Linked DNA regions of Rattus norvegicus. The protein of the gene in region 2 interacts with the protein of the main gene of each other region in a pairwise test. Links are inferred from orthologs where the notes say so. Each region holds a gene or a part of one and is shown on either strand. Other genes may lie near its edges.

Evidence for each region. The genes of interacting proteins can lie anywhere in the genome.
Region 1: the proteins of Atp6v1d (region 2) and Bbln interact in binary tests that used the Homo sapiens proteins (3 or more experiments, as listed by UniProt). The two-hybrid records come from large-scale screens. The link is inferred for Rattus norvegicus from reciprocal best matches to the Homo sapiens genes ATP6V1D and BBLN.

The regions. Positions count from the first base shown.
Region 1 is NC_086021.1:36,071,917-36,076,582, reverse strand, and holds Bbln (bublin coiled-coil protein), read left to right. Parts: upstream 1-1,512; 5' UTR 1,513-1,604; coding exon 1,605-1,683; intron 1,684-3,816; coding exon 3,817-3,989; 3' UTR 3,990-4,258; downstream 4,259-4,666. UniProt on the Homo sapiens protein: Essential for intermediate filament organization in intestinal cells, interacts with intermediate filament and regulates intestinal lumen morphology.
Region 2 is NC_086024.1:103,394,805-103,398,997, forward strand, and holds part of Atp6v1d (V-type proton ATPase subunit D), read right to left. Parts: intron 2,271-4,193; coding exon 2,191-2,270; intron 781-2,190; coding exon 713-780; intron 121-712; coding exon 76-120; intron 1-75. UniProt on the Homo sapiens protein: Subunit of the V1 complex of vacuolar(H+)-ATPase (V-ATPase), a multisubunit enzyme composed of a peripheral complex (V1) that hydrolyzes ATP and a membrane integral complex (V0) that translocates protons.

The DNA of each region.
Region 1 (4,666 bases), on a different chromosome or scaffold from region 2:
CACACACGGGGCTTTCTTCCCTCTTGGCTAATGCAGATATGAGCTTCCCAGCCGCATTGTAGCAACACATTGCTACAATTAGCATGCACTCTCTTCTAGCTCCTAAGCCCACCCTTGCATTAATTTCCTGGTGTCCACGGGGTTGTGCTTCCTCTGGGGTTTGAGGAAGAATCCACTTCCCTTCCTCTCCCAGCTTTACTGAAGCCTCTGTGCTGAGAACAGCCTGCACTCTGGAATAGCCACCGTGACATGATGCCACGGGGGGGGGGGGGGGGGTGTCACCTGGCCATTACAGCTCTAGGAGTCCTGGTAAGTGAGTGTTCCTGAGACACTACCCTGACCCTGAGCTGGATCCCGATTACTCTTCTGGGTCCCATCCACAAGTGGTTCTGGATGTTGACTTTGTGTAGGTCTCTCTCTCTCTCTTTTTTTTTTTTTTTGGTTCTTTTTTTTTTCGGAGCTGGGGACCGAACCCAAGGCCTTGCGCTTCCTAGGTAAGCGCTCTACCACTGAGCTAAATCCCCAGCCCCCTCTCTCTTTTTTAAAAATATTTATTTATTTATTTATTATGTATAGGTCATACAGCTTTCTGCCTGCATGTACGCCTGCATGCCAGAAGAGAACCAGATCTCATTACAGATGGTTGTGAGCCACAATGGGTTGCTGGGAATTGAACTCAGGGCCTCTGGAAGAGCAGACAGTGCTCTTAACCTCTGAGCCATCTCTCCAGCCCCGTGTAGGTCTCTTTTCCCTTCCCAGTGTGCATGGCATGGGGGAACGTGAATGCTGGAGGTCTTTATCATGAAGTCTTCCGTGATGGACTGCCACAAGCAAGGATACTTAGCACACAGACCTTCCACAGACCCCAGGCGCACCTACAGAGCACACCAAGTCTTTTCTGTACTGGGAACCAGACACACAACCCTTCACGCTCCTTCCCAACCCATGTCATATTTATTGGCGTGAATCAAACAGATTGGCTTTATTTACGTCTACTGTCCTGGTATGGAATCTGATCTCACCCGAAAGTGTAGCCTTTGAGAACCCTAAGAGAAGAGATGAGGCCAAGATTGGCCAAGATAGGACAGGGGTTGTGGGTCATCTCGGCAGCACCAGGGGGAGGTGGGAAGATGGCAGATTCCTGGTGACTGGGGAGGAGAAGTTCTGATTCCGACCATGCAGAGAGAAGGAAGCAGCAGGATGGAGTCTCGTACATATCCCAAGCTCTAGGGGGCTAAGGTCTCTACTGCCTGACCTTCTGTACGTCCTCGGGCTCCGCTGACCGCGGGTCACTGCGGCCTGGAGAGGGGCGGGGCTCAGAAGCCAGAGAAGGAGGAGCCTGAGAGCGGACGGGGCGGAGCCATGTTTGTGGGCGTGATAGAGCGCCGAAGCAGGGAGGGGGCGGAGCTCAAAGGGCGTGGTAGCGCGGAGGCCTAGGGGCTGGGCTTTGGGCGGGGCTCAGGGCGGCCTGAGTGCGCTGCTGCGTTCCACTCTTCCGGCCCGGTGTTCCATCAGCTGCTTGCACCTTCCGCCCAGCGCCGGCTTTCCGCGCGACGATCGCCGAGTTCCATCTTCGCGTGGCCTCTGCGGCGCCCGAGCCCGCAATGTCGGGCCCCAACGGGGACCTAGGCATGCCGGTGGATGCGGGCACGGAAGGCGAGAATGACAGCTTCGGGGAAGCAGGTGACCTGGGAGGAGAGGGGTTGTTGCTAAGGCGACCTTTACTCTGCGGGGAGTACTGGCCTTAAGATCTGGAATCGGGCGGGGACGGGGGGCGTGGGAGGGCCTGAGGAGTTGGGCTCTGGAGTTGTCCCCACAGCCACCTCGGAGGCGATGGCGAGCAATAGCAAACAGATCCCTGAGCGCTGCAGTACTGGAGAACTGTCGCTAACCAACCCTGGTGTCTGAAACTGAGGCAGCTTCAGAGCACCTTGTCAGTTTGGGATTTGCTTCAGCCACTTTCCTCGCTAAGAGGGGGCGGTCATGCATGGCTCTGCAGGTGTTGGCCGGGTGGGCTCCCCACTATGCTGAGTCAGCACCCCAGCCATCTGGCTTTGCTGGTGACCTCCTTACTGAGTACTGTGCTTGGGTGCACAACACTGCCCAAGGACCTCAGGGGACGCATCGGCCCACAGACAGCTTTTGCACGTTTGGGAACCTCAGTTTTCCCATCTGCAATATTGGGCACATTGGTGTCTTCTGTATTGAAGTGTGTCAGAATTTAAGGGAAAATGGGATAGAAATGGTTAGCTTCTAAGATTCCAGAGTACAAGTTCCTTCTGAAAGCCGGTTCTTGTTTGTTTGTTTTGAGTGTTGTCAAGTCTGGTGCCTTACCTAGAGGGCAGGACTTGATTACTGTGCAATAAGGATGGGGTATGCTTTTGTTTTCTTATAAAAACTTTATTAAGCTGTAGGTAACACACTAGATTGTACCATTTAAACTGTACAGTTCTGCAGTTTCATATATTCACAGCATAGTCCTTGTCACAACAGGTTCAGAATATTTTTGTCACCTGGGTTCTGCCCTTAATAGAGGTTGTCGTCCATTTGGAGGCATAGTGGGCACTGTTGGACAATAGTGACTGCTGGCAGCCACAGTGAGCATCATGAGGGGACTAGGTGAGGTGGTGGCATAATTGAATGACATTGGGGTGGGGAAGAGGCTGTCCCAGGACTGGAGCAAGGGCTAGGAAGTACCCAGGACGTAGGTGGAGCCTGCAGACATCACCTCTCCTAGCCCTTCTGCTGGCCTGCCAGGATGGATGGGAACAGCTAGCTACCCATTAAGTGCTTGGTGTGGCCTGACCCCGACTGAGCTCTCAGTGTACTGCAATTGCAGAGTCCCCTACCCCACTCTAATAAGGAGTGCTGGGCTAGAGCAGACCTGGGACTCATGTAAGGGTCTCTGACCCTAGGTCTGAGTTTTGACCCTGTCACCAGATGGAATGAAGATGGACTAGCAGCTTGAGAGGCTCTAGGCTGTGTGAAGGATGCCCTCTGTGGGTCATGGGAACTGTCCCTGAGAGGCAGCACATACACACTCATGCTCCAGTCGCCCTCCCTGGCCTCTTCCTTAAAACCACCAGCTCCTTCCCTTTGTTCCCAAGTTGGCAGCTGGGTGTTTCTGAGTCATGGGCTGGCTCGGAAGTGGGTCCCGCAGTGGGCACGGACCCAGACCTTGGATCCTAAGGAGACACAACATTGCTAAGAGGCAGGTCAAAGAAGCTGTAGAGGACGGAGACAGGAAGACTTCTCAGAGGAGGGAAGACATGGAGGAGGAGGTATTTTGAGTAGGTCCTTGAAGGATTGTTGTGGCTGATGAAGTAGATGGTAGACAGTTAAGCAAAAGCAGGGACTGGAAAGCCAGAGCTTCATTCATTCATGCATTCACTCATTCATTCATTCAGTGCTTATTTGTGTCATCGAGGGCACTGGGGAGATAGAGAACACAAGACCCGTCACCTCCCCTAGAGCTTGATAGTTGAGTGTGAGCAGAGGGTGAGCTCAGACCAGCACACTACAGCAGTCATTTCTGAAGGGTTGCTGTGGAGAGGGGGAGGCTGGAGAACCAGGACAGAGTCTGATGTAGTACCGGACCCAGGGAGCCTCCCCTTGGTGACAGCTAAATTGAAATAAGCGGTGGTCATCCCAGAGGGAATGACAAGGGTGCCACCCAGTGCCTTCTAGGCAGGTCACCGGTCTATTCAAAGGGCCTGAATCGGACAAGGCAGGTGAGAGGAGCAGAAGGCTTTGAGCTGTATCTGTCAGCTCTAAGGAGACACAAGACCTTCTCTCTATCTTTTCCCTTCCTCCCAGAGTATGCTGCCATCAACTCCATGTTGGATCAGATCAACTCTTGTCTGGACCACCTGGAGGAGAAGAACGACCACCTCCATGCCCGCCTCCAGGAGCTGCTGGAGTCCAATCGGCAGACACGCCTGGAATTCCAGCAACAGCTTGGGGAGGCCCCTGGTGATGCCAGCCCCTAGGTGCCGGGAGCCCCCAACCAGGCCCCACCCTTACCTCTCTAGGCCATGTTCTGGCCTGGCTAGATACTACTTGGCTTAGACACCATCTCAGGTACTGGCCTCCAGATCCCCTGGTGGGTCTACCAGCCTGGACCAGTCCCCACTCACTGCCCATCACTCTTCCTGGAGTCAGGTGCAGTCCTACAGTTCACCCACTTGTCTGCCTTCCCAGCTCCTGGTCTCTCTCCCCTCCACCCAGATTGAGTGTCATATTAAAGAGGTCTCCCACACCACTGCCCCCTTCTTCTCTTTGTGCCCGGACAAGGACCCCAGTTGCCACTGGAGGCAGATGAGCAGAGACTGTGATCCATGGACCATATGATGGACCTGAGCCTTTCATTTCTGATCCCCAGGGTGTGGGTGAGGTCAGGGCTTCCTACCTGGTGTGCTGCCCTCCAGCAGCTGCTTCCGGTTGATGCGGGCATGCTGTATGACTGTGAGATACAGACAGGCCCCCTGGGCATTAGGGCCTTCCACCATGGTAACCACCCCTAGGATGTGAAGGTGAACCTTCCTGGCTGGCACTGACAAAGCCAGGCTGTCTGTCTCCAGTGGAGAGCTAAGGATGGACCCATTCACTGCTGATCTGTCTCTGGGTTTGGAGGGCTTTGCCCTCTTGGTGAACCCAGAGCTGATCC
Region 2 (4,193 bases):
CATATATTTAAACAGCAATGACTGCTACCTGTATTTCTCAGTTGCAATTATACACCTTGGGATATCTGCACTTACTGTCAGTTCCTTCGTGGTAATGTTCAAACACTGGTAAGGTGACACCTGTTAGAAAGATAATGAAGATGTGTGTATGGACTCACAGACTGGGCTGGAAGTACTTTTTTCCCTTCTTTTCTTCCATTGGGTCCGGTTCTCTGAAGCAGACTGTACCCCAGGCAAGCCGTTTTTCTTTTTTTTTTTTCTCGGAGCTGAGAACCGAATCCAGGGCCTTGCGCTTGCTAGGCAAGTGCTCTACCACTGAGCTAAATCCTCAACCCCGCTGTTTTTCTTTTTAAACACACAATTCTACTATGTAGTCCAGGCTAGCCTAGAAATTAGAAATCGCCAGCCTCTGCCTCCTTAAAAGGGTGCTGCTTTCCATACTAAGTATCAAATACTAGAAATACTAAATCAAATACTAAAAAACACCAAGAGTTAAGTTTAGAACTGGAAGTGGTTTCAAGTACTATACTTAAGACTTTGTCTTCTCAAGAGTTGCTTCTTCTCAAAGTTCAAATTATCCCGAGTCCTAGAACTAGGCTGCTAAAGTCTGAACATGCCATCAACTTGCTCCTAATTGAAGAGAACCTGGGACTTTGTCCTGCAACTGATTAGCTGCCACCTTTACCCTCCAAGGATTAGGGCAGTCACTTACCTGCTACATTGTCTTTCTTTGCTCGGATCTTCACCTGGGCTTTATTTACATTTTGTATAACTGTGGTGCTAGGAGGGAAGGAAAGAGAGCGAGGCAGTCTTTATTCAGCCTTGTTTGCAAAAATAACTCTACAAGGACACACTGGATGATGAAACAAGGAATAAGACATTACATTATGTGTCAGTAATCATTTTTTTAAAGATTGTGTGTGTGTGTGTGTGTGTGTGTGTACACGCGCTCTATCGTCAATGACACCAGAAGAGGGCATCAGATCCCATTACAGATGGTTGTGAGCCACCATGTGGTTGCTGGGAACTGAACTCAGGACCTCTGGAAGACCACCAGTGTTCTTAACCACTGAGCCATCTTGCCAGCCCCCAGTAATCATCTTTATTCCAGAAAAGAAAACTCAACAGAGGTAATGGAGGCCCTCAGTGCAGAACTAACAACAGCTGAATCAGTACAGGATAAGTACATTTAAAGTATGTGGATGGCTGGTGTTTCGGTGAGTAGAAATGTGACTCTGGAGGATGTATTCCTAGCAGGAACTTCCTTTCCTTGGAGGTTTGCTGTTCAGTTGGTGAGCTGCTATGTAGTCTTTATCCTAACTTTCCTCTGATGTCATCCACTCGCCATCTGTTACAAAAGACAAAGACAAACTTTCCCCTTAACCACATAAAATGTCCTATTAGTCCCCTTCTGCTGGGAAAGTTAGAGCAACTAATTATATTATCCCACTACATTATCCAACTACACTAGCAGACAGGGAAACTTGGGTTTAACTAGCTTCAGGGCCACGGGCGTAAGGCCTGCATGGCAGGAAAAGCTGCTACAGTAGGAAGGGCCCATGTCATGACAAAGGAAACTAAGAAGTCCAGGAAACAACTTCCACCTCTGTCTGTAACCAGAGACAGAGTCAGGAACACTGTCACTTTAAACTGGGGTAACACCATTCATCTGCCTCACAGAGGTACTAAGAGAATCATGAGGAAATACACTGGCATAATGCATTCACAAGCCAGTGTGCATGCACACTTTGTCAAGCTACAATGATGTGATAAAAGTCATAAAGCTCTCAACTGAATAATGGATTCCATTCTAAAAAAAAAAAAAATGTATCCTAGACACATGAAAATATTCACAGTCATTTCCTCAGATTTCAAAAATCAAGCATTCAACTCAAAGATCCAACACTAGGAAAATGGTTAATAAATTATAAAACTTCTTAGTGTACAAACCTGTGAAAACAGGGCAAAACATTAAGTGAAAATGGGCTTCAAAATATCAAGTATTCTGTGCTTGGCACTTACTAAAAGCATTAGGAAGGTAAGAGGCAGCTACCTACAAGGAAGGCAGAGGCAGTTAAGGTTATGACATTAAAAGTATTCCTATCACTATATCCTTTGTTTTTATACATTTTTAATTAATTGAACTTGAAGGCACTGTGAGATTTTCAAACACCCTGTTAGTCATCTTACCTGAAGTCCCCTGCTGTGAATTTGGCCTCAGCCAATGAGAAGGCAGCTTCTCTCATCACCTCACCCATCAGCATCTTAGTCTGAGAAAGCATAAGCCAACAAGAGAGTCAATCAAGGACTTGAAATCACGCCGTATTAGTTCCTGTTAACAACCATCAGTATTTTATGCTAACTATAGAGTATCAGTTTCAAAGACTGACTTGATAATGAGAAAACTCCAGTTTTGATCACCGTCCTGATACTGTTATAAAACATGACTGTTAAAATAAATTCACTGAGTTGAATCTAGCAAGGCTCACTTATTGAATAAGTACATGCTGATTTGCTCAAATTAATCTTCTAAATTTACTCAGAGTCCAAAGCCCCATTGGCACACCGACTCCAGACTGCATCTGAAAAGGTAATGCTTGGGAAAGCCAACTTTTCTTTTTTTAAAGAGAAGAGAAATTGAGTCATAAAAGTAGAAAATTAGCTGAACAAACATTAAAAAGGTCTGTTAAAGTAAACATATATGGTATGACTTGTTAAGAAAACAGAACAGAGTATTCAGAAACAAGTCCAGGTCTATGTGAAAATGTATTATAGTAAAAAGACTATTTAACTGTCATCCACTCACAAAAGGACAAATTCCTACCTTACAACATTCTTCCACCAAAAAGACCCATCTGTAAAAGAGGTCAATACATTTTCTCCTCCCCTCCCCACCGTGTGTGTTTGGGGGGGGGGGGGGGGGGACAGGCATTGGTTTTTCTGCCCTAAGACTCTCCACTTATTTGCTCTCTCTTGAAACTGGAGTTAAGCTGGCAGCTACCAAACCCCCACCCTAACTTATCCACCCTTAGCTATAGGTTCATGAGATCATGCCTAGCTTTTCCTATGGGTTCTAGGCATCTGAACTCAGGTCCCCTGGCCTCTGCAGGCACTTATATTTACATGTACATATCCTCACAGATGCACACATATACACATAATAAAAATACATCTTAAAACACACACACAAAGAGCATATGTAGGGGCATACACCTGTAATCCTAGCAGGTAAGAGGTAGAGACAGAGGGGTTGGGGATTTAGCTCAGTGGTAGAACGCTTGCCTAGCAAGCGCAAGGCCCTGGGTTCGGTCCCCAGCTCCAAAAAAAAAGGGGAAAAAAAAGAGGTAGAGACAGGAAGATGGTATAATGTCATCCTTCATCACACAGCAGTTTGAGACCAGCCCAGGTTATATGAAACTGTTGCAAGAAAACTAAAACAAAACAAAAATTATAAGGCAGGTGTGGTATTTTGTACCTATAATCATAATTATTCAGATTAATAAGTCCAGAAGATTGTTTGAGCCCATGAATCCATGAGAAATTGGACTAAAAAGTAACTCTCTCTCAAAATAGATGAATAGTTATAAAGCAACAAAATAAAACACTTTCCTAGTCCTCTGAAGCCTCTCTAAGCCTTGTCTACTTCAGATCTGGAAGTCAGCACAGTGGCTCGCACCAATTCCAGCACTGGACAACTAAAGCAGGAGGGCTGAAGTAATGGCGGGCTCCACCCAGCCTGTGAGAGAGAGGGGAGACAAAGAGCTGAACTTTGTATTGAACAAAATAAAGCTACAGGAGCTTTAGCTGTGCTGTTTGTGCGCCAGTTTAAATTAAAGAGCACAGGATGCAGTCCAGGGGCAGAGCACTTGCCTAGCACACATAAGGCCCTAGGTTTGAATCTAAGGAATTCAAAACATTTCAATTGTTCTTTCATTTACAAATATGAAGAAAATACTTTTAGTGTGTTATACATTTACCAGAGTGTATAAAGACCCTTTTCAAATAAAAAGCAGCTCACCAAGAGAATCGATTACCAGTGACCATGAAAAGCTGCACAAGCCCCACATACCTGCACACAGCAGGCTGAAGACAACTTGAGCACAGCAGACTGGCACCAAGGAAACACTTCACTAGTGCCCATTAGGAAGGAGTAAGAGAACACGCAGAGTCTAATTATAAATTAGCACTAATCC